Linked DNA regions of Diceros bicornis minor. The protein of the gene in region 1 purifies or fractionates together with the protein of each later gene. This does not show direct contact. Links are inferred from orthologs where the notes say so. Each region holds a gene or a part of one and is shown on either strand. Other genes may lie near its edges. The genes, in order: DDX21, C1QBP, RRP1B and CDK9.

What was found.
Region 2: the proteins of DDX21 (region 1) and C1QBP purify together in Homo sapiens (co-immunoprecipitation; 3 studies listed by BioGRID and IntAct, with this or other methods). This does not show direct contact. The link is inferred for Diceros bicornis minor from reciprocal best matches to the Homo sapiens genes DDX21 and C1QBP.
Region 3: the proteins of DDX21 (region 1) and RRP1B purify together in Homo sapiens (affinity purification with mass spectrometry; 3 studies listed by BioGRID and IntAct, with this or other methods). This does not show direct contact. The link is inferred for Diceros bicornis minor from reciprocal best matches to the Homo sapiens genes DDX21 and RRP1B.
Region 4: the proteins of DDX21 (region 1) and CDK9 purify together in Homo sapiens (affinity purification with mass spectrometry; 3 studies listed by BioGRID and IntAct, with this or other methods). This does not show direct contact. The link is inferred for Diceros bicornis minor from reciprocal best matches to the Homo sapiens genes DDX21 and CDK9.

What each region holds. Positions count from the first base shown.
Region 1 is NC_080745.1:37,067,652-37,075,576, reverse strand, and holds the start of DDX21 (nucleolar RNA helicase 2), read left to right. Parts: upstream 1-4,909; 5' UTR 4,910-4,958; coding exon 4,959-5,048; intron 5,049-6,989; coding exon 6,990-7,439; intron 7,440-7,925.
Region 2 is NC_080757.1:12,097,411-12,105,424, forward strand, and holds the start of C1QBP (complement component 1 Q subcomponent-binding protein, mitochondrial), read right to left. Parts: upstream 3,008-8,014; 5' UTR 2,969-3,007; coding exon 2,743-2,968; intron 1,449-2,742; coding exon 1,298-1,448; intron 1-1,297. Other genes in the region: ATP-dependent RNA helicase DHX33, read right to left, coding at 6,997-7,305.
Region 3 is NC_080766.1:43,112,625-43,120,341, reverse strand, and holds the start of RRP1B (ribosomal RNA processing protein 1 homolog B), read right to left. Parts: upstream 3,002-7,717; 5' UTR 2,970-3,001; coding exon 2,840-2,969; intron 1-2,839. Other genes in the region: HSF2BP (heat shock factor 2-binding protein), read left to right, coding at 4,518-4,553, 5,336-5,486. UniProt on the Homo sapiens protein: Positively regulates DNA damage-induced apoptosis by acting as a transcriptional coactivator of proapoptotic target genes of the transcriptional activator E2F1.
Region 4 is NC_080767.1:35,786,536-35,793,630, reverse strand, and holds the start of CDK9 (cyclin-dependent kinase 9), read right to left. Parts: upstream 3,011-7,095; 5' UTR 2,840-3,010; coding exon 2,400-2,839; intron 1,932-2,399; coding exon 1,850-1,931; intron 1,061-1,849; coding exon 970-1,060; intron 611-969; coding exon 444-610; intron 320-443; coding exon 148-319; intron 1-147. UniProt on the Homo sapiens protein: Protein kinase involved in the regulation of transcription.

The DNA.
Region 1 (7,925 bases):
TATCCAGGGAAAGTATAGGAAAAGAGGACAGAGGAACCCAGAGGCACACCAATGTAGTTACTGCATAGCAGAGGAAAGGGGATGCCATTGAGAAGGGATGATGATAAGAGGGCAAAAAGCCCGGAAGTGTGAGGCTTTCAAAGGAACTGGAAGACGATCCTGAAATGGCCACTGATTTTGGCAAAAAGGAGACGTTTGACATGGGGAGCAACAATATTAATAGAGTGTAAGAGTAGATGCCATTTAGCAGTGGGTTCAGCAGGAAATGGGAGTTAAAGAAGTAGGGACAACAAACATGAACAGTCTTCTAGAAATTGGGCTGTGAATAAGGAAGAATAAGTTAAAGCTGGCTGTAGAAGAAAGGACAGGAGGTTGCAGTGAGAATTTTGTGTGTGGTGGGAGGAGATGAGGGAAATTTGAGCATGTTGAAATACTAATATGGGAAGGAGCCAGAAAGGAGGGAGGGGGAAAAAATATATGATGGAGCAAAATCCCTATGAAAACCCAGAGGGATGAGATCAAGCACACACTGGAGATTTTAGCCTTAGGTGGCAGAAGCACATCTCTAACGTGTGATTATCATGTAGGTGAGTTTGCAGGTGTCAAGGTATAAAAAGCTGAGAGAGTGCCTGTCTGATGTCTTCTATTTTTTCCTGTAGTATTCTTGCATGGTCATCTACTGAGGGTGAAGAAGGAAGTAGTAGGTTAGGAGACTTGAGGAAAGTGGAGAAATGCTGAGGTATCAATTATTAGAACAAGATGGAGAACTCACCAGGCAAACTGAGGGTCCCAGGCAGCTTTGGGGGTCCAGCTGAGATTAGAGACTAAATCTGTAGTGGCGGCAGTTAGAGTGATTGAGTGATTTCCTATAGCAACACTCAGCTTTCTCTTGTAGGAATGGAGATGGGAGACAGTTGATTGAGGGTTGGAGTTTTGCTCTGAGATGAAAGGATGACAAGGTGAAGATGTTAAGGACTCTGCAAAAGTGATTTGAGTAATGGTCCATGGAGTCCAGACTGCCTAGGGGTTGAAGTGGAGATGGGGTTGATAAGAGGGAGAATGTAGAAGGGGCAAGGGATTAAGGTCAGTAAGGGCTGTCTGAATTTGAGATTTCACAACTGGAGCAGTTGGGGAGGAGAAAGGTGCAGAGTACGGTAGTAGGTTGTTGGGGGCAAAGGTTATTTCAGTTGAGGTGGTCCAAAAACTGAGACGCCAGGTGTTATATGGGTGATTTTCATGGACAATGAAGTCTCCTAGAATGAAGACAAACCAAGACTAAGGAGGGAGAGGAAGACTAAGCCAGGTGCCAAAATATCAATGAATGGGGGAGGTTGGTAAATTACCTGAATTAGGAGGGGTATGCGGTGATACTACCACCTACCTTCAAAGGGACAAGGGTATTCACATGAAAGTCAAGGAGTAATAGTTTGGAAATGGCCTTGAAAGAAAGAGGACACTGCTACCAGGGTACATAGAGTGTGAGGGAATGAGCAACATATGTGTGAGATAGCTACAGGGGAAATATTTTTCAGGAGAAGCCAGATTTCAGTTAAGCCAAGGAAGGAGAAAGGACTCTCAGTGCTGGATTGAGAAAGGGGGAAATTTTGATTATGGGGAACGGCGTTCCAGATAACTATGACTCGGGGGAAAGAATCTCAGTTGGCTGTGCATTTGAGTAATTGTGAGCTCTGGATTTATAACCAAGGTGAAGTAGGGGCTCCATTCCTACTAAAGTGCATGAGTTAGAATATGCTGTCTTCAGTTAGAATATGCTGTCTACCTACAATGTCCCAGGGACTATGTTTGGGGTACAAAGGTGAATGGAGTACCCAGTCTCTGCACTCAGGAACTCAGAATCTAGTGCAATAGATAGACACATAAACTTAGGTCCATAGCAATGACTAAATGCAATGATTTGAGAGCTCTGCACAAGGGCACCCAGCCCAGCCCAGGAATGGGGGTGGGGATTCAGAGAAAGCTTTTTGGACATGATGACTGAACACGAATTAAGTCAGGTAAAAGAAATGGGGATGTGGGAATGGGCATCCAGGCAAAGGTACAGAATAGCTAATAAAACTGTTAACAAAGTCTAAGTATGGTAAGCTAAGTAGCTCTTGTTGCTGGGATCTTCACTATGAGGAAAGCAGTGGTGAAAACATAGCAAGAGTCATATCTTGGAAGGTTTCTTAGGCCTTGTGTTGGACAGCCATTGAAGGGTTTCAGGGAAGAGAGTGAACGAGATAAGCACGTAGCTAAATTCCAGCAGGGTGGAGATGGACTTAAGGGGTGCACTAGCTAAAGGCTGGCTTCTCTATTAGCAAGGAAAGTGGAGCAAATCCTAACAAGATTAAATAATAACTTTCCATATCTTCTGGAAGGAGGAACCGGGGCAAATTCCTAACCAAATTCTCAGCTTTGGGCTGCAATCAGCCACTTATCTTTACTCCTTCCTCATAAAGCCTAGCACCTTCATGACTCCACTTTTGGCTCTTCAGAGCCTCCTGTTTGGTACTCTGTGCCTAGTGTGGTCACTTAACAGCTATTTGAACTTGAATCAGTTACCCTGATCTTCAGTTTTTGAATTTGTAAATAATATCTTTTATTCCCTTCAGCATTAGAAATTTGAATAATGAATTCACATTTTGGTGTGAATGTCCAAGAGCCTCTTCTCACATTGTTTTTGTTTTGTATATTTTGGGGGTAGTGCTTAATAAGTTTTTTAAAACCATATTCCTTTTTTTAAATATTAGTAATATATGTCCATTGTTGAAAATTTTAAAAAACGCAGAAGCAAATGGAAGAAAATAAAAACCACCCATAATCACATCACTCAGAGATAATTACTGCCAACATTTTTGTTGTGTAGACTTTCAAATTCACTGCATGTATGTGTGTGTGTATACATACTTTTTGAAATAGAAATTCTCCCAATTATATGAAAACATATTACATCATCTACATCAGAGGAAACTGGTCTGGCAGAATCAATATTCAAGCAAAACTTCACATTTCCTATCAAATGTATATAAGACCCATTTCTTATACTTGTTACTGAGTTTTATACTGATGACTAGATTTAATACAGTAATTTGGCCACCTTTGAGCCAAAAAGGGCCTGTTGCATGTTTCTTCTTGGAATTTTGGCCTCGTGCCTATGTGTAGGAATGTTAAAAAGGAACTTACATACTTTATAAGCCTTGACAACAATTTTCCATTTACTCTCTTGTTGAACATCTGTTGGTAATAAAAATGTCCCTGTACTGTTTATAGCAGTTATCACCTACAGCAGTATCACGTAGTTTTGTGGTTTATTAACCAGACTTCAGGTTCCTAATGCCAGGATGATTTAATTGCTTTCCTGCCTGGGCATATAGCTAAAATTTATTTCAAGGGGTTCCTTCCCTCCCCTGACTCCCCACATTGCCATTTTAATGATCGATCAACATTTAGTGACAGGTTATTATGTGCCAGGCACTGTCTGAAGTCTTAAGGATACAAGGATAGATAAATTAAGGCTCCTGGCTCAAGGATGTCACAGAGTTAAAGCATTGTATATTTATGTATATTTACATAAATTTATCTGTTAAATTGAGACTGTGAAACATCAATAGTTCGTGTGAAACATGAAATTTTTCCTTTAAGTGGTCAGACCTGAGTTTTTTTTGTTTTCTTTTGCTGAGGAAGACTGGCCCTGAGCTAATGTCCGTGCCCCTCTTCCTCCACTTAATGTGGGACGCTGCCACAGCATGGCCTGACAAGCAGTGCGTCGGTGCATGCCCAGGATCCGAACCCTGGCTGCCAACAGTGGAGCGCGGGCACTTAACCGCTATGCCACAGGGCTGGCCCGACCTGTGAGTTTTAATAGCTCTCATTTATTGTGCTCTATGTGCCAGGCACTGCTAAACCCTTTTCATCCATTATCTTAATTTTCTCAACCGAAGAAGTAGGCTTTGTTATCCCCATTTCATGCATGAGAAACTCAGGTTCAGATTAAGTAACGTACAAAAATCACAAAGCAAATAGTGCAGGTTTTCAAAGCCCGGCCTGATTTCAACCCATTTTTAAAAAAAAGATTTTATGATGAATTGGCTCCCAATTCTTTGGATCACTAGTTCTTCACAGGAAGTTTAGCCACGTTGTCATAGATCATTCAATGGACCACTCCTTCAACTGCTTGAATTAGTATATTGTCCAAATTATGCAAGACTAAGAGCGGTATTTTCTAATAGAGGTCCGTGTGGTTTGGCGCCCCCTTCTCCTGGTCTCAAGGAAGGTTTAAGTGCCTCTCTCTGCCTTTGGAACAACTGATACTCCTCCATCTCCCACCAATCTATAAAGCTTCTTGGAGACTAAGGCTTGTGTATTGTCTGTTACTGAATCCTACCCGTTTCTCATACCTGACACGGTGAATGCTCGGGGGATGTTTGTTGAGTGCACGCACGAATGAATGACCAAGCCCGACTGAATTCTAGTTCCTATCCAGGCCTGTGAGTCTGGGCGTCTCTTTCAGTGTCGACGTTTCCACAAGACGATCAAGAATACACACCTCGCGTATGTGCGCGTGAAAGGATCTTGCAAACTCGAGGAATCTAAAGCACTGAAGAGGCGCCATTCAAAAGCAACTACAGGTCTTCATTTATCAGGCCAGGGCTAGCGAGAATCCGGCCAGTGTTTGAACGACAATACAAGGCCAACCTCTGCGGTTCCTTCCAGTTCTGCCTTTCTGTAAGTGCCTTCTAGTCCCGGCGCCGTAAGCAGTCCATTCACCAAGCGCAGCCAGCAAGAGATGCCGGTGCTTTGCACCTACCACGTGGGCCCCGGCCTCCCTGGGGCTTCCTGCTTCCGCAGGAAATGCTTTGTTACGGGAAGTGACGAAACTGGGTGGGCTGAAGGGGTAGGACAGTCTCTTCCTCTCCACGCGGTGGACGAGAACAGTCGGCTTATCCATCTTGTGCTGAATGATGCCGGGGAAACTCCTTAGTGACGCGGATTTGGAATCAGACACGGCCATGGAACAAGTGGAGATACCGCGAAAGCAAAATGAGAAGGTACGCTGAGAGGAGCGCGGCCGCGGGGTCCGGGAGAGGAGGGGTGCCGGGGCTGGAGCGCGTGGCGCGGACCCGGCTCGTCCGGAGCCCGGCGTGGGTCTCGGCCAAGGGCGCCCGGGAGTGGTTCTCTCGCGGACGGTGGGCGCGCCGCCCGCCCCACCGAGCCCGCGCCGCCGCGCGCCGGCATCTCGCACGGGGAGGCCGGGGCGGGTCGGAACTGGAGAGAGGCCGGGTGTCCCACGTGGTCCCGGAGTCGGGGCGCCCGGCACCCGGTGCGCAGAGTTGGCCGCTCACGGTTAGGCCCTCCGTTGTTGGCTCAGGCTCAGACCCAACTCTGGGCGTGAGCGTGCGCGGAGGGGATTGTAAGTCATGTCAAGGTAGGGACTGATGCTTTGGACTAGACTAGCGAGACCTTCAACCCCTCGGCACACGTGGGCGGCGCCTGCGGTGACATCCCTTTTACCCTGGAGAGGGAAGTACAGTTTGTGTTCCGGTAAGCAGACCTTAGAAGACGAAGTAATTCAGTTCCTCTTAATGTTTATTGACCAGATTTCCCGTGGAAATGTAAGGACGTGTTGTGGTGCTAAGTTTACTCCATATCTTGATATAGGCCAGTCGTGTGCAGTAGTCTTAAGTGACATTGTTGATGCTTCCTTAGATAGTGATTTAACTTGTGACTAAGTCTCTGTTCTGAGATAAGGTCAGTGGGAGCAAAGATTGTCCCTCAACTGTTGTACGTGACTTAGAGGTTTTTTTTCTTGCTGTTTGTGGGTCTTTTTGATGGGGAGCTTTTACAACAGCAATATTTTGGCGTCGTCGGAAGCCAAGGGATCGCAGATTTGTCGGCACAGGTGGGGAGGAATTGGTCCTTGTTTACCTGCGCTGTATTAGCGAACCTGTTCAATTGTGTGATGCTCAAATTAGAAGGGACATGACCAAACTCCATTACATTCCAAAAGAGACCACCGGGATGGGAAATCCACTCTTATTTGATGGAACCAAGGGATGAAAGAACTGAAGCCTTGCAGGGAAGACCGGATTATTTTTCAGATGCCTGAAGGACCATCGTGTGGGAGAGATTACTCTTCATACTTGATTTGAGAGCAGAGGCCAGACCTGAAGTTTCAGGGAGGCAGATTTCAGCTCAGTGTAATAGTCTCCATACTTCTGGGATTGGCCTGGAGCTCTACCAGAGAGGTTTTAACAGAGGCTCCAACACCTGTCTAGTTGTTTTCAGTAATATGAAAAGTTGGAGTGGGTCAGACATTTCAGATACGAGCCATAGTCTGGTATGGTTTTGATGTTTCACCCCTTCCGTTTCCTTGTAATTTGTGCTTTTTTCCCCCTTCTTTAAATTAGGTACATCTTTTTTACACATGGAGTGATAGGTTGTGGGGTTTTATAGCTTTTTGTTCATAAAGTGTCTCTGTAAATGCGTTTGTGCTTGTGAGATAGACAAGACATATTATGAATCACTGTTGTACAGGAATTCTGCAGAAAAAGAAATCTGCTTAACATCATCCATCGGTGGATGTATATGGCCTGTTACTCTATCAGAATTAAATTAAGCTGTACAGGATGACTTTCAATAGTAGTATTTACCGTAGAGCCTGTTAGAGCATCCCATGAACCACCCCAAATCCCTTGTGAAATTTTGACTTTACAACCTGTTCAACCAACATGAATCGTTACCAAGAGGCATTCTCTTCCAAGCTAATGAAATTACTGATATATACTTATCTCTGTATAACTAAGAAATGGTACTAAAAAACATACTGTTTGATTTTTGCCTTATTGCAAGGTGAAAGTACAAATGTTGAAAAATGCCCCAAAATTGTGTTCTTCATAATTATGCAACCTTGAAAGAATCCAGAATTGATGTACTCTACAAATGTATAGATGCTTTGTTCAATGTTTGTATTTTCTTTATTAATTTTTTAGAAAGGTAGAAAAGAGAAGCCAAAATCGAATAAGACTGAAGAGGCAGCAGGAGAAAAGGAGGAAACTATTTCCCCCAAAGCTAAAAAAGCTAAAAAGAAAGCAGGGCCTTCTGAGGTTGACATAAATTCTCCTAAATCCAAAAAGCCAAAAAAGAAAGAGGAGCCATCTGAAGACAGCATTATTTCTCCTAAAACCAAAAGTGTGAAAAAACCCAAGGGGCCTTTTGAAGAGAAAGTTGTTTCTCCTAAAACCAAAAAAGTAATAAAAAGTAAGGAGCCTTCTGAAGAAGAAATAGGCGCTCCTAAGCCGAAGAAGATGAAGAAAGAAAAGGAAATGAATGGAGAAATTGGAGAGAAAAGCCCCCAACTGAAGAATGGATTCCTTCATTCTGGACCTGACTCGAACTCCAGTGAAGCTGCCAGTGAAGAAAGTAGCAGTGAGTTAGAGCAGGTAAAGTTGCATTTTAATAGGTGGAGTGTATCTTTCATTGTTTTTTAAGAAAAATAAATAGGTAATCACTACATGTATTAATTATGTAGTAATGGGAGGAAATTTGATGTGTCAGCCCTTCATAGGGGTCCGTTGAGCTGCAGGGTGAAACTTCATCTTAAAAATTGCATGGTGTCTGAATGCCTCCTTTGCAAATAAGCACATCTTTTTAAGTTTAGGGAAAGTCTTCTCTCCACACTTGGTCTGCTTATTTGCAAGTCAGAAATCAACAGGAGGGATATAGTTATGCGAATAGGTGCTAGCTTCCCTCTGAGGGGTTTCACCAAATAAATCACGATTAAGTGGCACCACTGAAAAGGTATTTGCTTGACTGCATAAGTCTTTTTGTTCAGGCCATTAACTAACTTGAGTTGAACAAGATGATTTAAATGTCCACTTGGAAGCTAATTCTGTTACCTTTCAAAAACTCAGTCATTAAAGAAAAAT
Region 2 (8,014 bases), on another chromosome or scaffold:
TGCAGGACAGATTCATTCTTCAGTAGCTGAGGGAAGTTTTATCATCACAAAGCAGGCCAGAAACACCAACTAATGGCAACTTTTCTTTTTTTGTGTGTGAGGAAGACCAGGTCTGAGCTAACATCTATTGCCAATCCTCCTTTTTTTTCCCCCAAAGCCCCAGTAGATAGTTGTATGTCATAGTTGCACATCCTTCTAGTTGCTGTATGTGGGATGCGGCCCCAGCATGGCTGGAGAAGCGGTGCGTCGGTGCGCGCCCGGGATCCGAACCCGGGCCGCCAGTGGCGGAGCGCACGCACTTAACCGCTAAGCCACGGGGCTGGCCCCACTAATGGCAACTTTAAGGTGCAAGAATCATCTGACAACTCATGTTCCAAAATTTGAGTCGAAACTGCAGCGAGGTGAGATGTGGCACTAGCACTGCTAGGCTGTGGCACTCCAGCAGGCACTCTGCGTACACAGCACACTGTAACTGCGCTAAGTGGCTGCCTTGCCAGGAAGCCACTTCCCATCGAATAATGGTAGTTTGAGGTTTAAGCACAAAATCTGTCTAATCTGCAACAGTGCTGACCGAACTGAGCTCCTGGGCACAGAAATGCAGTTATGTTCATTAGAACATTATTTATAATGGCCCCAAACTGGCTATGACTTACCCTTGGAAAATGGTTTAGGTGAAGTTACAGCAGACAAAATTGACCCATATATGGGGAAAAACACACTGTACCACTAGGCAAAAAAGAATCAAAACCCGACTTCACAACATATACAAAAGTTCACTCAGGGCCGGCCCCATGGCTTAGCGGTTAAGTGCTCGCGCTCCGCTGCTGGCGGCCTGGGTTCGGATCCTGGGCGCGCACCAACGCACCGCTTCTCCGGCCATGCTGAAGCTGTGTCCCACATACAGAAACTAGAAGGATGTGCAGCTATGACATACAACTATCTACTGGGGCTTTGGGGGAAAAAGCAAAAAAAAAAAAAAAAGTTCACTCAAAACAGATCATAGACTTAAACAGCTGAATTAGGTCAAAAGCTCCCCTCCTTGCTAATGGCAGCTCTTATACTGTGACCCCATCCTGTTACACGTGAGTTACATATCTTGCATTTTCACCTACTGAAAACATCTGAGAGCAGGGCCTTGTTTTGCTCAGTCAGAGCCTGCAGTGTAATGAGTCAGCACTGTAAACCTGAGATCAAACTGATTCCATTAGCACTGTAAGGCTGTTCCGGGATGCCTCAGGGCAGGTCCTGCGGGGTCATGGATTTGGTCCCCTGGAGTCCGCAGGCCCCCAATACTTACTTTTCTCCAGCAACTTTCCGTACTAATTTGGCTTCTGTCCCATTTACTTCCAGCTCCCAACCTCCGGACATCTTGGGGAGGGACTTATGCTTCTGTATCTTCTTTTCCTCCTTAATTTCATCACTCAGGAATTCGACAAAAGCTTTGTCCCCTACAATGAAAAGCCATAAGACACAGAAAAAGAAGAGCCAGTCTGAAACATAAAAATAACCTGTTACTGCACCCAGAAATCTGGACTTGGACTGTTTCTAACACTTCTGCTATTAATGGTGCCTGGGAACTTAGTCCAATTCACATTCATTAAGCCTGTGTCCTCATCTGTAAAAATGCCCTAACGGCACCAGTGGGAATTCTGCAAAAGTGACTGCGAACAATGAACCATTACCACGTTTCACCAAAAGCAAGAGAATTCTCAATTACCCTGACCATGCAAAATAACTGATAACCATTCTACAGATAAGAGAGGTAGGGTGAGTTTTACTTGAGCCAGGGTGAGGATTATAATCTGGGAAGGCAGTTTCCACAAAGGAAGAAAGCATTCCAGAAAAGCATGGTTTTCAATACAATCTTAAACCGTTTTAGACCAAAGAACATACATTAAACACATCCAGGATACATATTCATCAAAATTTCAAAGAGGTATTCAGTTGCAGATTAGCAGGTCAACACGACCCTGATGGCGGGAAAGGGACTAATACAGGCGTTACTGATAGGGCGTAGGAGGGGAAGTATGCATTCTTCTCTTTTTTTTTTATAATTTTATTTATTTATTTTTCTCCCCCAAAGCCCCAGTAGATAGTTGTATGTCATAGGTGCACATCCTTCTAGTTGCTGTATGTGGGACGCGGCCTCAGCATGGCCGGAGAAGCGGTGCATCGGTGCGCACCCAGGATCCGAACCGGGGCCGCCAGTAGCGGAGCACGAGCACTTAACCACTAAGCCAGGGGGCTGGCCCAATGCATTCTTCTCTTAAGAGAGTGCATTCTTTAATGGTCAAATCAGATGTACAACGTATCTTTGATAGACCATAAATCAGGCTTCTTTAGTTCAAGCTGAATCCACTTTGAACCAGAATGGCTACCCCATATACCCCAACATGTGAAAATCCCGTCATCCTCTTTCACTTGCCAACAGACATAACTACGCTACTTTTAACCACACCCTGAGCCTTCCCAAAGTTCCACTTTCGAGAGACTAAGGATAAAGTCAGCCTTCAGATTTAACCGTATCTCTCCCCTCAAAATTAAACACTTGGAGGATCGGGGAAATGTGATCACACGTGGGTTTAACCCTCTGATTGTCAATAAATGGGAACACGTTCCGGACCTCGGGCGACGGCTCCGGCTGGTCTACCCGCGGTCTACCCTTCCCCGCCCGCGCCACGGGCCCCCACCCCATCCAAGACTCTGCCCCTCGCGGCCCCGGCCCACGTGCGCGAGACTCACCTTCCGTGTGCAGGGCGCCGCAGCCGCAGGCGCAGGGCCCGTGAGGCCGCAGGAGGCCCGGCCGCCGCTCCGACCCCGCGCGCACGCTGAGCAGCCCGAAGGGCCGGGCGCACGGCCGGGGCGCGGGCTGCAGCAGCTGCCGGAGCGCCGGGGAGAGCGCGGCGGCGCGGAGGCCGGCGATGGCGGAGCCCAGGGAGCGGGGCACGCAGCGCAGCAGAGGCAGCATCGCGCAGGCGGAGGCAGACACGTGCGGATGCGGAGGACGCCCGGGGCCAAGGCACCCCCTGACCGAGCGCGCCGCCGGAAGTCCCGCCCTCACCCGGGAAGCACTTCCGCGCCGTCGCTTTGCAGACCGAGGGCGCCGTGGGCGGGACTGCGCCCTCTGCCGGGGGGTCCTTGACTCCGGTAACTGAACTTTAGCTGAGCAGGCCCGAGCTTGGTGTCCAAGGCTGTTTAGTTTGCCAGCATCAGTTCTCTCCAGTGGCTGCTCTCCAAATTTCCATCTACTGTTCTCAAAGCACGCCAGGCTTTCTATGACTTCAATGCGCTCTTGCCGCTCCCAGCTCCCAAGACCAGCCTCCAAGGTCATCCCCCTTAAGAGGCCTTCCAGGAACCTCCTCCTCTCTTCTATGAAACAAATAAGGACTCACGCCTGTGGGACCTCGCCCCTGTGCTTCACTCTCCTCTCAGCAGAAACCTCCTGGCACCGCGAGGTTAACTGGCAGCCTCCCCTCCCCTCCACCACAAGGGAGCTCCTGAAGGGCAGGATCCCTGGTTAATTCCTGCCACTGCCCCTCTGCACCCTCCAACCTTGCACCCAAGTTCTGATGGGACGTCATTTTTCTGGAGGCAAGAAGCCATGGCTTCCATCAGATTTAGGTTAAGAACTGATGTTCCGGTCCTGCCTGGTGGCATAGTGGTTAAGTTCGTGACCTCCCCTTCATGGCTGGGGTTCGTGGGTTCAGGCGTTTGGATGCTTGAGCAGACCTACACACCACTTATCAAGCCATGCTGTGGCGGGGTCCCATATACAAAACAGAAGATTGACACAGATGTTAGCTCAGGGACAATCTTCCTCACCAAAAAAAATTAAAAAAAGAACTGATGTTCCCACCTTACCAGGACACCTAGGATATATGTTACCAAGAAAGTAAGTCATCCCAAATTAGTGGCCAAGATAAGACTAATTCTTAATATATTCTACACAGCATTCTGTGAAGAAGGGAAAGGAGACTCAAAAAGAAGCCACACATCATGTACAAGATTCATTTTTAATGGACTTGGTACTCATGTGCAAATTTGAGCATTATATACAAGAACTGATGTTTCTGTAGAGCTATGTCTGTTTTGAACAAGACCAGACTCTAAAAATACAACATAAAGCTGAACCAACTTGATTTCTTCTGCAAGTTATAATATTCTAATCAAATAAAATACAATAAAACCATCACTTCCCCACAGGTGCAGTGTTTCCTTATATGCTCAAGTAATGGTATCTTAAGATGCCTGGCCACAGTCCCAAGTACTTCCTGACAGCTGGATTAAATGGATTTATGCATCACAGTACATTATCATTGTTACCCACAGAGCAAAAACGTGTCTCCATTCTGGCATCTCCTTACAACCAGCAGAGATGCGACATTACATCGGGGTCTTGACCAAGGACCAGTGCTGGCAGTCCTGCCCCTTGTAATGAAATCTGTGCTGCTCTGGATGTTTCAGGCTCCATGACTACCAGAAGCAGAGAGCAAACACCTGAGGTGTGTGATCTGCTTGGAGCGCATCTCCTGACACGAAGCTGCGCATGGGAGCTGGTGATTTGCCCAGCGGTGGATTTCACAGGTTGAAAAAGAGGTGTCACACCATCAGAGATTTTACCAATTGAAAAAGAGTAGCTCAAGATTGTATCGCAACATCACTGTGAAACACTTAACTTCCTTAAGAAAGTTTAAAGTGTTCTGTTCCCTGCAGCTCAACAGAAATAACTTTATTTCTTTGTAGTAACAAGTGGAGTCAGAATGGATTTTCCAATCTGAATTAATCCCTGAGCAGGTATGTTAAAAATTAACTTTTTAAAAAGCCCAATAAAAAACTACTGTATTAAAACTCTACCAGAATGTTACAGTGTTAAACTTATTTCTGTACAGAAACATTAAAACTACTTAGAAGCTATTTACATTTACTTAGAAGCTATTTACCCCTTACTCAGGCAGGAAAGAATATACATTTCCAGAGACTGTTCAGGATGGACATAAATTATCCGAAGTTACATTCTACTTGCACCAGAGAACACCTCTTGATAGAGAATTTGCTGAGGAACATAATAAAGCACCCCACTCCCAATTTTGTACCAGCATGATGAATGCTTTATTAAAAATACAATAGTTCCTTTTACTAAGTCAGGCTAAAGATCCTAGGTCTCTATTAAATAAATGAGAAAAATACACTTTAAAAAATTTCTGAAAAACTTTTCAGAAAGTCAGCAACAGTAAGAATAAGTCGATCTGAGGAAGAGCCAGCTAAAAGTCTAAGAATTCAGTAAGAGAGGGTATATAGGATCTGTCGAATCCTGTTCGGCCTAAGTGTAACTATTTCTAACAGAAATAAATCACAAGTACCCAGACAGCCTTGAACACTGGCTAAAAGCTTGCCTGCTCAAGGCCACGGCTCCCGTTGGAAAGCCTGGGCCAGCCGGACGTACACAGGCCTGGACAGAGCGGACCTAGGACGGGGCAGGCCAGCAGGCTGCGGGCTCGGAGAAGAGCTCGCTGGACCCAGAGGGAAGAGACAACCCACTGTCTTCAATCTGAAGAGCCTCTGGGGCAGTCTGGTCCCCTGCTTGTCAACTGCAACATTCACTCTGTAAGTGATGACGAAAATATTGCACGTGTGTTTAGACCAATGTAGCACAAGTAAAGGGCTAAACCTTGGCTGCTTCTAGGGCAAAACATTCTCTGGGGAAATATTATTTGCTTCTGATAATCAAATAGCTAAGAAGAACTTTTGGTGTCATTTCCCTTCTCAGAATATGAGAAAAGGAGGAGACTGTGGAGACCCTCTAATTCCCTCTGACAAATGTGGAAACTGAGCCTGGAGAGGGGTGGATGGCTAGGAAGCAGCAAGGCTAGGTTGTCCCTAAGAAGAAGGACAAAAAGATCACAGAAAATAAATAAGATACACACCAGAAAATAAAGAATATATACGCCAGACGTGGCAGGTGGGGCGAGCCACTGCTGTCTGGGTTCGCAGTGACCACTGGCCGCTGTCCTCCACCCCACTCCCAATGGCCCTCTGCCCAGGGGCCCTGCCAGAAGAGAGACAGCTGAAATGTAGCACGGCGTCATTCCCTGTGCTCACATGTTTCTATGTGCCCAGTTAGAGAGAAAAATGGCAACTGGGTATGCTGGAGGCATCACACCACAAGGCCAGTTTCCCATGTCTACACTTGACACGATTCAGAAGATACAGATCACCCCACACCCAGGAAACTTCCACATCTCCTGAAAGCACAGATGGGGATATGAACCAGAGAGGCACCGAGGATGAAGAGACACAGCCCAGCGTCCTGTGAGCACTCCTTTACTGGTCTCTGAGAGGGCCACACCCTGGGGAGTGTTCACAGGGGCAGCCAGCCCATTAGGTGAGACACAACAGCATCTCCCTCCTGAAACTTCTACAGAAGTCAATCTCTTATGCTTTCTGTTTAAAAACTTCATACAGATAGATATTAAAATAGATCCAAGGACAACATCCAACTCTGCGATTTCCTATGGTCCCCTTCCAGAAAATCCCTCTCAGTCACAGGAACTCAGGCGGTTTTGTTGTACTCAACTAACACCATGGAGAAAGCGATAACATCGGGCATAAGGGCTCACAATTCATCGTATGTTTATCGCAGGCCGGGCACAGCTCTGGGTACTTTGCATTCATTTTCTGTAAACCTCATAAGTCCACCCCTGTAAGTATTATTATTACCCTCATTTGGCAGATGAGGAAACCGAGGCTCAGAAGTTAACTAAGTCACCTAAAGTCACCCAGCAATAACCGAAAGCATAATTTTGAAGTTTCCAAGGTAAAAATGGTATGTACACATTTACACAGTTCAGTCTTCAGGGTTTAAACAAAGACGCTCTCGAGCTCCTGGAAATCAGGCACATTCCGCTACATCAAAACCTGCCACCTCTCTAGGCGCCAACCTGGAAGTCAGCTATGTGGACAGCTATGGTCTCAGCTCCAGGCACCAGCAGATCCGGCTCAGTTTCTGGCGGTTCTCAGCTTCCTCCTGAAGTACTCGGGGGCAGCCTCATACAGCCACTCGGCGTCCACGACGCAGAGGTCCCGCATGTAGCACTTGTTGGTGTAGAGCAGCTCGGTGTACACAACGCAGGCTGGCTTGCAGTGGAAGAGGACAGACGAGGGGTGGATGGCCACCGGCTGGTGGGTGTCCGTGGTGGCATAGGACCCGTCCGGCTGAAGCTCGGCGGTGCTCATGAAGAGGCTGTGAGCCAGGCAGCGGCGGACGCTCTCCGTGTCTCCGCGGGATGATGTGATTGGCATCGACATCTGTTTCAGGGGGAAGCGAGAAATGGAAGAGCCCAAACATTACTGCTCAGCAGCACATGGTATTTGGAGCAACCACACCTAAAACACAGCCCATAGTGCAGGCCTAATGAAGTGGAGGTTGACACAGGAGGTGGTTACCTGAGATGCCTCGGGGAGCAGCATGGGTGGGACAGAGGCAGAGCTGAAGGCGGGCGGACTGTAAATAGGGAAAGTGCAGCCTGGGAGAGGAAGGACCGGGAGGGAGACAGCCATCTAAGCTGCCACACTACAGACAGGTTGGGTGAGCCAGCATCCCACTCCCTCACCGAAACATCCACCAGGATGTCTCAGGAAGCAAAGGGCTTTCCCTCTCCCTCTGACTACTCATCCTCTCCTCACTCCAGTTCAGCTCACACTCTGCCGCTTGTCCTACAGCACAGCTCAGTCGTTCTTCATCTGCTCAGAAACCTTCAATGTCTCTCCTGCCCCAGCAAAACAATGCAAACTTCCAATAGTGAAGCCGTGAATGAGCCATCCTGAGCATCCTGTGGTCCTCCGAAATCGACTGCCTTCTCCTCCCTAGCCCGTTCCACGACTGTGCCTTCACCAGTTGCTCCTGGGAGACAGAAAGCCCCTCCGCTCTGAGGTGAGAGGTCAGTCATCAGTCCCTCTCCTTGCTCCACAGCACTTGCTGAGTGGGTCACATCACCTTACCTGCTGGCCACAGTGG
Region 3 (7,717 bases), on another chromosome or scaffold:
AACACACACAGCTCTTAGCTCTAACTACTGGGTCGAGAGACCTCTAATCCTATTGTAAGAAAAACACTTATTTCCCCTATTACTGGCACTGAATCTAAGACACCACCAACTGTAAGATGTACTATTTCACGTGCCCCCAAAAGAAAGCAAGAATGCAAATGAAACTGTCACAGGTTGACTTTAACGTATATCCCAATTCTAGTAGATGTTAAATGTTTAAAGTTGCAGAATTGCTCAAACAGGCAGGGATTTTTCTCTGTGTTTTCACTGCCAAAGACATGAATGCATGAATAAACAGGGACCAATGAGCCCTAATGAGTAAAACCATGCACAGTGACCGTTCTATGACCGTGGAGGCCCCACACGAGCAGTTAAAGCGCCAGAGCAACACTGAGCTGCTTTAAGCACTACGAAGATCTCCAATTTGTTTTCAAAATCACAAAGCTACCTACGATGGACGGCTACATGTATCAGTAAGTAAAATTTCAGATTGCCTTTACTATGCCTAGACAAGATGCAAAAAAATTTCAGCCTACCAATGAGATTCAAATGTCAGGCCAAGTTATTTCCAAACTCGTGTTTCTAATTTGACAGAGCACAGCTGTGGCAGAGACCTTGTTCATCTGTCCCACCATCACCGTCTATAACACTCACTTTGCAGATCCTTTTTTGAAGGCCCACTATATTCTGTGCAATGTGGATCTAGTGGTGAACAAGAGTTACAAGACAAGTAACTCTAGGTGTGATGGGCGCTAACCAGGCAGGACTCTGGGGCATTGGTGTAAGCACACTGGCCTCACGCTCCCGCGTCGCCTCAACATACATTTCATATCCTGGGCTTGCTCTGCAAAGGGGTTTGAGCAACAGGCCTGTCTGGCTGTCTCAGCTCCATATGTACTGCATCTGGTCTTTCTTCTGCTCTTGTATACAGTCAGGCCCTCGTATGCCTGGATATGCTCCCACTTTCAGCTAAGAAAACAGACGGAAGCTTACAGTGTTTTGGGGGAAGAATGACACATTAACACATAATTAAGAATCAATGTAGCTAAGTGCTACAATAGAGACATACTGTATCTTTCAGAATCCTAGAGGAGTGGGGGTGAGATGATAGGGAAGGCATTTTGGAGGAAGTGATACTGAACTGAATGCTGGGAGTGGATCAAGGGTGGGAATCTTTTTGGAGTGAAGAGAAGCAAAGGCAGAGAGGTGAGAAATGGTGTACTGTACACCAGGAACCAAGAGTGGCTTCCTGTTGATGGAGCGAGAAGCAGTCACATAGGCGCTGAGGTGGAAAGAGAAAAGGAAGACAGATCATGATCTGCAGGCCTGGGATTCCAGGAAGGTGGTGTTTTAGGAAGAAGACTCTTGGCTTGCTTGTGGAGGACAAGTTCAAGGGGGGACAAATGGAGGTAAGGAGATCAGTGGGGAAGCGGGAAAGTGCAGGAGTCTAGATGAGATAAAGAGAGCCTTTGGTCAGGACAGAGTAATTCAGGAGACAAAAGAGGTAGGACCAAGGGATGCTGGACGTGGAGCAGGGGGAGAGGATGAGGGAGAGCAGAGTCCAGGACAATACTGTGTCCAGCTAGAGTCTGAGGGGATGGTGGGAACTAGCAACCAACATAAGAGAGCACAGGTGGCAGGGCAGCAGCAGAAGAGAATAGGTTTTGGGGTGAAGAAAATGAGTCACTTTTGGGCATTCTGCATCTGAGGTGCCTGTGGGACATCCAGGTGGAGATGTCAGGTTAGTAGGGAATAGCTGAGCTGAAAGTAGCAAAGGTCTGGGCTAGAAATTTAGGTTTAGGAACTTTCAGCATATATGTGATACCTGAAACCATCAAAGTAAACTAAATCTCTCAAGGAGATTCCTAATAGAACTGAAGTCAAGAATTCTGGTCTTCATTCCTCTTTCTAGCAGACTTCGCATAAAATTGCATTTTCTTTTTCCTGGGTAGTCTTTCGTGATTTCGCTTCATAAGTAAAACAAGGAGATATCTATTTTTTCAAGTATACTCTAAATGTATTCCTGTTAGCAGTAAGTGAATCAAACTTTTTCCTAGCGCAACATAAAACCTCTATCCACAGTGCAGTTCATACCTCATGTGCTCACCCAAGGGTTTACAGAATGTATTTTGGATCAGGTAAATGAAATCCTTCAAGGCACCCCACTGAACTAAAAACGCAAACTACAAAGCTCGGTGTGACCTGGCCACTGCCTACTTTTCCGACTCCATGTCAAAGTACCATCGCCCTCCCTGACTCACTGGTCTTCCAGCCATTCCTAGGGCATGCTCCGCTCTTCCCTCCTGCCTCTGTTCAGATCTGCTGACCACCACCCCGGAGAGGCTCTCCTGGAACTGCCTATGCAGCGGAGCTCCCTCCTGCCCTGACTTCCATTTCCGCCCCTGCACTCATACGAGCTCGGTTTTAGTTATCTACGCCCCCTAGCTTTACTAGCAGAAGTTCCTCGAGGGTAGGGATTCTGTCTGCTCTCCTGGAACCCCAGCATCTAAAGGCGTCGGTCACACGAAGGCGCGAATCAATGAAGAGCACACCAGAAAAAAATCGGGCTGAGTCTAGCGATTCAAGGCGCAGGCTCCGAGCCAGGCAGACTGGGTCTATTCTCGGCTTCTCCCCTCGCTGTGACTTTCAGCAGGCTACCTGACCCCTGCGGCCGCAGCCCCTCGACCGTAAGACCGGACTAGACCCAGCAGGCAGCGGTGCCCACGGTGCGGACACACCGGGGCGAATGGCAGGCGTGCGAGCCGGTGCCCGACCCTCTCCCTGCTCCCCCGGCCCCGGCCCGGCCGCCATGTGGCGCGGCTAACCGCCGGGCGCCCACCTGTCTCCCTCTGCGTCTTCACGCTGAGGTACTGGCGCAGCTTCTTCACCGCCCGGTCCCTGATGCCCTTCTCGTGGGACGCCAGCCGCTGAGCGAACTGGATCTCGGCCGGCTGCATGGCGGGGGCCATCGCGTGCGCTGGAGCATCCCCGGCCGCAGCCCGCCGCGCCTCCACCTCCCGCTGCCGCCGCCGAACCCCAGCCGCCGTGCCGTCCGGGCCGCGACTGCGCAGAAAGCGGCGCGGGCGGCGGCGCGCGCGCTGATGGCGTCATGGAGGCCCCGGCTCGCAGCGCGACCTGGGAGCCGGCGGAGCGGCCCGGCGTGGGTTCGCGTGGTGCCGTCGCCCTTCCGCGGGCTTTAGGTCGTCAAAGCTCGGGGCCGTTGACGGCGAGCTAAGCCAGCGTTGAGTCTTGGCCAGGAAGAGACGGATGGCCAATTTTAAGTGGTCTAGAATCTTTAAGCTCTCTCCACAAAAACCCCATCCGATAGGCAGCTGTCCTACGAAATACACGGGTTTTTAGTTGCATTGGAGTCCTTGGCCCGCCTCGGTCGGGTGGAGACTGGGAAGAAGGGCCGTCCTTGGGATTTTTGGCGTGATATTGAGGGCAGCTCCATCGATGGGCCGCCCTGGGCCTCTACTGCCGGCAGAGGCAGCACCCTCCAGCATCTGGGTCCCGGGGCAGGTGCAGGGAAGGTCCCGGTACGGGGGCAGAGGCAGGTACGGGGGCAGGTCCCGGTGCAGGGTCAGGATATGGCAGGTGCAGGGCAGGGCCGGTGCGGGGGCAGGATATGGCAGGTGCAGGGCAGGTCCGGTGCTGGGGCAGGTCCTGGTGCAGCGTCAGGTGATGGCAGGTGCAGGGCAGGTCCCGGTGCATGGTCAGGATATGGCAGGTGCAGGGCAGGTCCTGATGCGGGGGCAGGTCTTAGGGCAGGGGCAAGGACAAGGACGAGTTCCTGGACAGGGGCAGGGCGGGGATCTGCAGCGTGTGCTTGCGAGTCTGCCCTCAGGCCTGGAGAGCACGCACTCCGGGAGCTCGGGCAGTGTCGGCTTCCTGCGGGTTTCCGAGACGGATGGTCTTAGTTGTGCGGTAACTGGGTACGCCTGAACCCACAGGCTGCATGCACCATGTTTCGCGAACTCAGCGGGCGTATTGGGGCAAGAGAATGGACCCGGTGACGTCTCCAAGTTCAGGTGGTCATCTCAGTTACTTAGCCAGCCGACTGGACTAAAGCTCCCTGGGGGGGCGGACTCCCCAAGGAGCTGTCGTCGGAAAGCTTCGACCTTTGCTAATGGGGCTCAGAGACAAGCGGGTGAGAGTGGTCACCAGCCGCGTGGGTGGTGGTTCCCTTGACCGCATCGCCCCTTAGTCTAGCATCCCTAGACACACAAGAAAGGCCAATTCGATTTATCTCATTTGACACTTAATCCTGGGTCTCACTGTCCTGCTTTGCAGTTAACAAGTTTAAAGCCCCGGCTGAGCCAGAAGAGCGATGCGGGATCTCGCCGAGCCCACCCCCAGTCCCCGAGACTGAGAGCGCTGCGCAAACTCTATGAAGTTTGAGCCTCGTGGCTCTCTGTACTCGACCCCTCGGCGTGGACGCATTCCCGCGCTTTCTTGCGTGTGAGGTCAGAGGGCGCGTTGCCGCGCAGGCGCAGGGAGCCGAGGCCGTGGCGGCCATGGGCGAGGCCGGGGAGACTGTGGAGGCCTGCCGGGTCAGTCAGGGGGCCCGGCGCCGCAGCTGCTGCGGTTGTCTACCCCGCGCCTCAGTGGACGCTCGGGAAGGGCCTGGGCCTCGTGGGTGGACAGCGTGGCCTGGACGGGGGTGGGGGCGGCGCGGCGGGCCGGTGGGCACCGAGCGGGAGGCGACGGCGCCGGAGCCAGCGCGCCCCGTAGGGCCCCTCGCTGTGCTGGGGCTCGGGTGTGCTCCGGGAGAATGCGGCTTCACGGGTGACCAGTGTCCCCTGAGTGCTCGTAGTGGCGTCACTGCAGTGACTTAGGAGGAGCTCGGACCCCAGAGGCAGATCCGTGTTCCCATCCTGCTTCGGCCCCCTGCTAATGGCGTTTCTTTGAGAAGGCCACCCATCCTCCCCAGGCCTTGGTTTCCAACCTGGACAACCTCGGAGGGCTGAGGTGAACACCACGAAATGAGATGACCAGCAAAGGGCTGGGCGCCCAGTGGGAACCCAGGAAACGTCCTTCCCTCCTGATTAGCCTGGCGCTGGAACGTTCAGGAAGATGCTGGCATTCTCTTTGGTTTTCAGGATTAGAGCTTCTCTCATGTGCCTGTGAGAAAAGGGAACTGGTTCCCATCTTGAAGGCTGGGGCTCGGCTCTCAAGATATGACGTGTATAGCAGAGGGCACTTTAGGTGAAGACGTGCTTTTGAAACAATTATGAACTCAAGAGGCCCTGAAGAAAAGGAAGCAAGCTGGCCTGGGCTGCGGGTTCTAGTGATCTGAAGGAAATGTAATCTTAAAATCTGCTTGCTTTTTTAGCACGTGGGAACTAAGGAAGAATTCGTTAAAGTCAGAAAGAAGGATCTGGAACGGCTGACCACTGAGGTGATGCAAATCCAGGACTTCTTACCCAGGATACTGAATGGGGAGGTACTGGAAAGCTTCCAGAAATTAAAGATTATGGAAAAAAGTGAGTTTTATTTCATTTTTAGCAGTCATTGATGGTGACAGACATCTGTTTCAGCAGATTTACCTTATGTAAATTGCTATAAAGTAATTGTAAGTAAATTCTAAGTACTGTTATAATCCTTGTAATTATTTTTGGGAGAGTCAGATAAGGCATAAGAAAGGGAGGGACCCTCAAATGGATAACTTTTTTGGACAGGTGTAAGTTTGTGTTGGAGGAAGAGTTGCCAGCTTTTAGGAATATCTGTTACCAGTTTCTCTTTCTCTCCACCTTTTTTCCTTGGCAGAAGAATTTTATTCAGTCATGCACTGAATAACGGCCTTTTGGTCAATGACGAACCACATGGACGACAGTGGTCCCATAAGATTAGTACCATGGAGCCTAGGTGTGTGGTAGGCTATACCGTCTAGGTTTGTGTAAGTGCACTCTCTAACGGTCACACAATGACGAAATCGCCTGAAGGTGTTTTTCTCAGAACGTACTCCTGTCGTTAAGCAACATGTAACGGTACTTTTATAATTGAAAAGCTCTACTCCAAAAACGTATAAGTTAAGGATCTGGGCATGGGGAAACTTGCGTGGAGTTGAATGTGTCTGTAGAGGTAGTTAGATGTGTTTCCTTGTCTCTAGGTTGATGGACGGGTCAGCTTCTAGCACTGATTCAAGTTCAGGCTTGCTGGTTCTTGTCCATTAAGATTTTGAGATTTGAGCTGAGCCGTTATGTCAGATGTCAGTCTGGGAGCCTGTTGAAGTTCTGGGAGATGTTCAGGGATTGATGGAGCACTTGCCAGTTAAATCAGCCTTTGGTGGTTAAGGCTGATTCACCACACTGCATTTAACTATTCGCCATTAACTACCGCGGGACCTCTAGAACAGGTGCATCTGGGGGGCTCAGGTCGGGTCTCTAGCACTAGTCCAGACAAAAAGGTGTCTGGAATCAGCAGTAAGATTTCTGCTTTGTGTAGATGTGTCTGGTCAAGGGGGCAGCCATACACAGTTAGAAGGGAGAGTGCTTGTGGTTATCATAGCTCCCTGCCCTGTTCATTCTCTCTTTGGAATCCTCAGATGCTCTGTCCTCTGGTGTGCTCTGGGAGGTGGATTCCTGCAGACCGTGCCTCTGGCTTCCTTGCTGGCTGCCAGTACTCACCAATGGAAGGCCTCAGTGGGCGGAGAGAGAGGTTGGGATGTTTCCTCCTGCTCCCTCCACAGCGGTGTCTCCCACCAAGGGGCCTCCTCCACAGTCCCAGCTCTCACTGGGCTCTAGTAATGCTGTGTTCTCCCTTTGTAACTTCAGCTGGAGGGCTGTTGCCAGTGCCTGGGTGCCTCACCATACCTTGTTGGGTCTCTTGTCCCTGCTCTCCCCTCTGTAAGTAGTCCTTCCCATGAAGTCTCAACATCTGGAGACTCGATGTTCGATATGCTCCATGTCATATTTGGAGACTGGAACCTTGCTGGGTATGCTCCATGTCACTGGTTACCATAGTTCCAGGTCATTGTCTTAACCTCCCTAGTTTGGATCCCGTGCTCATCCAGCAACCTTCTGAGAGCAATTGGTCATCCGCATTCGTTTATCTTCAGGGAGGGAAAGTGCTGACCAGTAGCAGAGTCAGCCTGCAAGGTGCTTATATTTCTCACTGCAAATTAATAAACTGGCATTCTGAAAAATTCATCAGGGTCTCATAAGTTGGTTAGCACAAGTCAGTCTTTGGAGCTCAATCGTCTGCCAAAATCAACTTATGAAGCTTCCAAAAGAGGGCCACAAATGAATCTATGGTGACTTGATCAACGTTAGACCGTAGGAGATCTTGCCTCGCCGTCCCTGGCCTTCCTCAGGCCGTGGAGTCCCCTCTTTTCCCACTGGTCTCTGGCCACTTCTCAGTCAGCTTTGCTGATTCTTCCTTCTCTGCAGCAGCCTTTCAGCCAGCGGTGTTGATTGAGGCTCATGCCCAGGCCTCCTCTCCTCACTCCACGGCCTCTCTGTGGGCAGTCTGTGCACACACATAGCTTCAGTTACCATCTTGATGCCAGCGGCTCCTAGATTTATCTCTAGCCCAGACCTCTCCTCCAGGCTTGGGGCCCTGTATCTAACTCGTAGTTGGCATTTCTTCTCGCTGTTTCACAGTCTTTTCAAAATCTAAATGTTTGTCCTAGCCTAATCAACCTACAGCCATCAGGAAGGACGAGGTCAAGTTTACTGGCTCGTTGCAATGAGGAGATCACACATGAGAACGACTG
Region 4 (7,095 bases), on another chromosome or scaffold:
GAGCGCACCAGGAGGGCCCCTTGAGCCCGAGGGCCTCCTGAGACGCAATGTCCCAGGGCCAGCGGCTCAGGAAGCCCTGGCAGTGGGGGGGTGAGGCCGGGTAAGTGCCCAGTCCCTGCCCCCCTCTGCCCGCTCGGGAGTCCTCACCGAGCAACAGCTCCGGGGGCCGGTACCAGAGCGTCACCACACGGTTGGTATAGCGGTTGGGCTGGCTGTTCTTGGCCAGGCTGAAGGCCCGGGCCAGCCCAAAGTCTGCCAGCTTCAGAACTCCATCACGGGTGATGAGCACATTAGCCGCCTTCATGTCCCTGTGCAAGATCTGCAGGAAGCACAAGGTTGAGGGCTCAGTCAGGTTACCAGGGGTCCTTTAGCCACACCCACCCAGCAGTGAGAGCAAAGGTCAGCCCAAGCCTTGGCCTTTCTTCTCCCACTCTGGTCCCCACCTTGTTCCTGTGGATGTAGTAGAGGCCGTTGAGCAACATCTGCATAACCCTCTTGATCTCAGACAGCGTGAACTTGACTAAGACGTTGCTCAGAAGCCCAGCAAGGTCATGCTCACAGAAGTCAAACACCAGGTATATACTGCCTTTGCAGCGGTTATAGGGGGAGGCTGAGGCAGGAAGAATCGGGGGAGGGGAGCAAGAAAAAGAAAGTTACGAATCCCACATGCAACTCATTTTCCCACAACCAGCTCCTACCCCCTCCAACCAATGGACACCCGGACATCCGGCTGTGCATTCCTTCACTGGTAAAGTATTTCCTGAGTGCCTCCTCTGGGCCAGGTGCTGTGGCAGGCCCTGGGGAAGCACCAGCTACGATGAAAGGACCAGAGAAAGCAGTCACAGTTGGTATGTCTGGGTTAAGAACAGGCAAGTGAGGCGTGTCCAGTTCCAACTTTGCAAACACAGCCTTAGGCTGCAAGGCTCATTTTCTCCGTCTGAAAAAAGCGATGAAATCCAAGAGACTTACCTTTGGTTCGACAGATCTCAATCAAGTTGACCACATTCTCATGTTTTAGAAGCTGGAGGATCTTGATTTCCCGCAAGGCTGTAATGGGGAACTGCAGGGGGAGAACGACAGGAGGGGGTCACAAGTGAGTGAGCACATTACAGACCAAGGAACCAGCCATGAGATCAGTCCTCAGGAGCACAGGTTAGGAGACAGAGTAAAATCACAGGCTCTGAAATCAGCTTTCAGATGCCTTAGCTGTAAAATAGGTCTAAGATCGGTATGCACCCTCAAGGAGCTGGTTTAAGACAATGAATTCAAATAGCAGTACTTAACACGAACACTTTACTACTAATCACTAAATGCTTCATAGTTTCTTTAACCTTCAAATTTTAGCTCTATGCCTGTGTTTAACTTGCTGGCTGGTAACAAAACCAACAAAAATAACTATTAGAAAAATTTCCTTGCTAAGAAGCAGGTCTCTGGGAAGCTGGACTAGAGCTAAGATGGGAGAGAGGGGACACAACCAGGTTACTCCTTTTCAATTGAGCACTAGTTATCCTTTTAAAGGTACTGCATGTAGTTTTTTTTATATTGAACAAAACTGCATGCTATCAAGTGTTTAAAGGCCACCTAACTTCAGGAACCAAGCTGCACTCAGTGCAAGCATGAGCTCCCCCTCCTGGCCCCAAGCATATTTACCTAAGAATGAAATATCAAATGTTTTAAAATGTTTGAATTAAAAGATTTAATTTGGAAGTCAAATTCCCTGGGATATGGAAATTCCCGAACTGCCGCACATACAGTGAATCTCAACGTGAGAGTTCTCGAAGACGCTGGATGGAAACCCAACCCCGTGCCCAGGAGAGCTGGCAGGCCCGCCGTCCCGACCCGTACTCACCCCCTCTTTCTCGTTCTCCATCAGCACCTTCTTCAGAGCCACTTTTTGGCCGGTCTTGCGGTCCTTAGCCTTAAACACCTCCCTGCAGGCCGAGAAGGGGACCCAGGAGGGCTCATCAGGCCGCTTCCGCAGGGCCCGCCCCTCCCCCCGCAGAGGAGGAGAGCAGGAAAGAAGGGACTCCAGGGCGGGGCTGGGCCGGGGACCCAGGGCGCTCAGCTACCTCACCACCCGGTATCTGCGGCCCCTCTCCGAGCCTCTACTTCCTTCCCTGAGTCCCTTCTCCTCACCCGGGCGTCTCTCCGAAAGATCTCGCTCCCCTCACGGGCTCCCCTCTGCAACCCCTCCCCGCCCCCCAGCACGGGCCTCAGGCTCCTCCCCGCCAGCCGGCTCTGTCAGGCTCCGGCGGGCTGCGGCGCGGCCTAGCGAGAGCAAGGCACAAGCCTGGGGCTCGGTGGCTTCCCGACCACCTCGGACCTGGCCCAGGGCCTCCCGGCGTCAGCCCTGAGGGGTGCAGGCCCAGGGCTCCCGGTCCCTCGGGGCTCAGCCTTACCCGAAGGTGCCTTGGCCGATCTTAGCGAGCTTCTCATATTTGGACACCTCATCACAAAAAGGGCACTCCACCGAGTCGTACTGCTTTGCCATGGCCGCCTCCAGCGCGCCGCCGCCGCCCCCAGCCGCCGCCGCCGCCGCCGCGCCCGCTCCGGGTCCCGCCGCCGTGCTCCAGGCCCCTCCGCGGCCGCGCCACTTCCGCCTCCAAGGCCACTTCCGGCCTCGCGGCGCCGACCCCGCCTCTTCCGTTCGCCGCCCGCCGCCAGGCCCCCTGGGACTTGTAGTTCCCGGGAGGCCAGGAGGAGCCGGAGCTGCAGAGGCGCCTCCGCCGCCGCCGCTGCCCCCGCCTCCGCCGCCGCCACTGCTGGCGGTGGCCCCTATCGGGGGCGCGGGGAGCCGGGGCGCCGGGGCTGGGGCTCGGGGCGGTGCGTCCCGCTGCATCGGCCCGGGCCGCTGCTGCTGCCGAAGCCGCTGCCGCTCTGGCGCCCGATCTGGGGCCAGCCGCAGTGCCCTGCTCCTCCTCCTCCTCCGACGGCGCCGCCTCCGCCGGGCTGCGCGGGTCGACGGGCGGGGGGGCGGCCCCCGAGCCGCGGCCTGGGGGCTCCCTGGCCGGGCCCGGGCCCGGGGCGGCCGGGCGAGGGGGCGAGACGGGAAGAGCCGACGAGGAGGCGGCCCGAGAGTCCGGGAGGGGGCGCGTTATAAAGGGGGAGGTGCCCCGGCTTCGCCCTCCCCTCCCCCTCCGCCCGCCCCCTCTCTCCTCCCTCCCACCCTCCGCGGCCGCACCTGCCGCCGCCGCCGCCGCCACCGCCGCCCGCCAGCCCACTGTCCGCCGGCTGCCCTCGGCGCGTCACCGCCCGCGGCCCCTCCTCCGCTTTCGGAGGTGGGGCCCCGCGCTCGACACCTGGCTGCGGGGCGCCTCGCCGCGTGCCTCAGTTTACCCCCGCACGCGAGCTGCCGCAAGAGGCCCCTTCCTCTCTGGTTCGGAGTGCCCCCCCCCCCCAGCCGACAAGCGAAGGCAGGAGGCGCCAAGGGAGCGGCCTCCGGTCCTGAGAGGGAGAACGGCCCCCGCCGCCGCCTCGCCTCCCCCGGCCCCAGCCACCCGCCGTTGACATGGCAACCGACGGCCGCCAGGGGGCGCGGCGACACTGAAGGCGGCGAGGGAGTAACGCGCGGGTCTTCCAGCCCTGGACCCCCTGTTCTCTGGGAGGCAGGGATGAGACCCACAGGACCCCGGTCCCCGCCGAGTTGCGCCCGGATCAGTAATCACAAAAATAGCTAGCATTCACTTAGCACCCCTGTGTGCTCAGGAAGTGCTGGGCGTTCCGCTGAATCCTAAATCAACAGCCCCATAGTCAGGATCACTAACCCATTTTACAGATGAGGACATTGAGGCTCAGAGAAGCAAGGTCATTTGCCCAAGGTCACACAGTGACAAAACTGGGACTCGAACCTGGTCTGTCTGAATCTGTAAAGGATTCTCCCGACTCAGGTTATTTACAGTCTGGCCAGGAGTATAGCAGTGGTGTGTTTGAGGCCTGTGGTCCTTATGCCAGGCACCAAGCCCACCATTCACCCATCTCTTCTCTGACCCTGTGCCCCCTTCCTCTACACCAACCCCCAGCATCTTTCTCATACCTTCCTGGCTCCAGGATCCTCTCAATTCTTCCTCCAACTCTACTCAACAACCAGCCCCCAGCAAAGCTGTCTTTCCTACCTCCTCTGTGACCCTTCAATCTGACCCTCCTTTCCAGTCCTCTGCTGATGGATCCTGAGTCCTGGCCTCCCCAGTCTGGCCTCTCCATCTGTCCCCCTCACAGCACACTAGATCATTCTGAAGTGGAGTCTACATGTATTTCCCTCCACTGTCTTGAGGAAAAACCAAATTGTGATAATTGAAGCTCTTTCCAGCTCCCTCCCAAGCTGTGGCCACCAGAATCTCCCTCCTGTTTCCTAACTCCCTGGCCTTCCCGCCTTCAGGGCTGTGCTCTCTGATTGCACCCCAGTACCCTCTCCAACTGCGGGAAGCCCTTGGGGTTTCCTCCCAGCTCTTACCCTACATGGCTTTGCCTTGAAGGATCTGGTGATCCTCGTGTCCCCAGAGACCCCGTTCTGGGGGAGGGTCCTGCTAGGGAGGGCCTTGAGGGTCAGGTGAGGAGCAGGGAGCCCTCTCCTGAGGACTGTGGAGCCAGCGAGGGTTTTAGGCAGTTGAGTGTGGTGTCAGGGAGTGCTCTGGGGTCAGCTTCATGGGTACACTATTAGAAGCAGAGAGGCCATTGGCTAAGTTGGGGGTGGAGAGGGCAAGGAGGGAGAAAATAACAATAATTGTAGTCATTACAATTTATTGAGGGAAAATAAATGGTCTAAGCTGTACACTTAGCATTTCATGGGAATTATCTCAATTCTTAGCCATACGAGGTGGGTACTATTACCACGTCCATTGTACACGTATAGACGCTGAAACTCAGAGGTGACATCACCTGACCAGGGTCAAACAGCTGGCCAGTGACCGTATTGGTGTTTGAACCAGGTCAGTCTGGCACAAACCCCAAGCACTTACTCATGTCAGGACCCCGCCCGTGGAGGCTGGAGGTGGAGCTGGGGCACAGCTAGGGCGGAGCACCGCTGGGCTTGGTGTCCTGGCTGCCCATGGGAGGTGTGGGAGGGGATGGTAGCACTGGGGGGTCTGCTATGGTTTTTGGTGGCTTCTACCCTGAAACTTTCAGGCTGGGGCCCCTGCCTGTTTCCCACGAGCCTCCCTAAGTCACATCCTGTGGGCAGACGCCTCAGCAGAGGGTTCCGGTGGTGTCATCACCTCCACCCTGCCATCCCTGGTCTGAACCCCAACATCCGCCAGTCACTTCCCCTTGGAGCCTCAGGCCCTCAGCCCTGCCCGATGGAGGGAGGCAGGCAGGAGTGGTCCGGAGCCCTCCGGAAAGCTGCCCAGGCTGCCCAGGCCTGGGGCCCAGATCGCCCACGTGGAAGTGAGAAGTTAGGTCCTGGCCAGAGACAATTTCTCTCTGACTTTGACATCTGATTGGCTGGTTCGGGGGAAATAGTTCCTGCCCCATGGATTGGCTAAGCTGGCAAGGCCAGGCACCTGGCCAGTACTCAGTAAATGTTTGCTGACTGGCTGGCCAGGCTCTGAGAGAGCGCCTGGTCCTGCTGCCATTTAACACGTAGGGAAACTGAGGCACGGAGTACGAACGGGAGCCACTAGCCAGCTGTTTGACCCTGGCCTGAACTCTCGATTTTCCTCCCCTGAGCAGAGACAGGATGGGGCATATGGAGGGAAGGAGAAGACAGGCTCATGGGTGGGCTACTCTTGGCTGCTCATACATCTGGGGGACAAGGGGTCACTGGATAGAGATTCAGGACTGAGCATGGCTGTGTGATGCCCTGAGCCCTGTAACACCATGATGTTCTGCCCACATCAGCCAGGTACTGACTCTGTGCCTGGCAGTGTTGATATGTGTCATCCTCCTGGAACTTTCCAGCACTCCTGTTAGGAGGTTGCTATTATTGGGCCCAAGTTACAGAAGAGGAAACTAAGGCTCAGAGTGGTAAAGAGGCCTGCCCAAGGCCACACAGCCAGGAAGCTCTGCAGCTGGGATTCAAAGCCAGGTCTCTTTGCTCTCAAAGCCCAGGGTCATTTACCATCATCCTACACCGCCCCCAGGACAGACAACTGGGTCGAGCTGGGGAAAGGCATCGACTGAGACCAAGAGCATAGTAGGCACGGGGCCAGTGTGGATGCATAAGGCTAGTTTCTCTCTCAGGGAGCATGAGGTCTGCTTGGAACATGCCATGAAAACAAAGTGTCTGTAACGTGGATGACACTCTCAGTACAAATGTTTTATTTCATCGCTACAGGATCATGTGAAGATGTTGTATTTGTTCCATTTTACTGATGGGAAAAACGAGGCTCAGAGAAGTGATGTCACTTCCCCAAGGTCATGCAGGTGGGGTCTGGACTCAGGTCTGCCTGGGCCAATGCCTTTGACTATGAACTTGAAGGTCTCCAATCCTAATGGTTCCTGGCCAAACCAGGCAACTGAGGCATAGACTGAGGGAGAGGGGCAAGGACGGAGGGGACAGAAATCAGAGCAGGGTTCCTGGGGACACTATGGCTCATTCTAGACCTGCAGAGACTCCATGGAAGCAAAAGATGGAGCCAGTGGAGGGAAGAGTAGCATCCAGGTGTGGGTCCAGCGCAAGCAAAGACCTGGGGGCAGGAAGGCACTTGTGTGTTCAGGGCTGCAGAGCGTGGACTGGGCTGGGCTGGCCTCCAGCGCAGGCTGAGGAGGGCCCGCGGGACAGCCACCCGCCAGCAGGTCCCCAGCCGCACTCCCAACGGCCACTCAAGGCAGCACAAAGGGGGCTCTCAGCTCAGCGGAGCCGCCACACTGAGCCCCATTCATCCTCCCAGGGACGCGGCAACTGCCCTGGCGCCCGGGCCAACGGCAGGGCCAGCCTAGCACTGACAAGGCACCTCCACCACGGCAACACAGCCGCGCCGGGGCCGGGGCTAGGACTCCCGGCTCTCACGCCATGCGCCTGCTCCGGGGTGTTCCTGGCCAGTGCCAGTCTGCTCCTGGCCTGAACCACCCCCATCCCTCAGCAACAGCCGCCGTTCCCTAGTCCAGGGTTTGCTGAGGCCACAGTGCACTGGCCTGGGCCAACATTTGCTCCTTTCATCC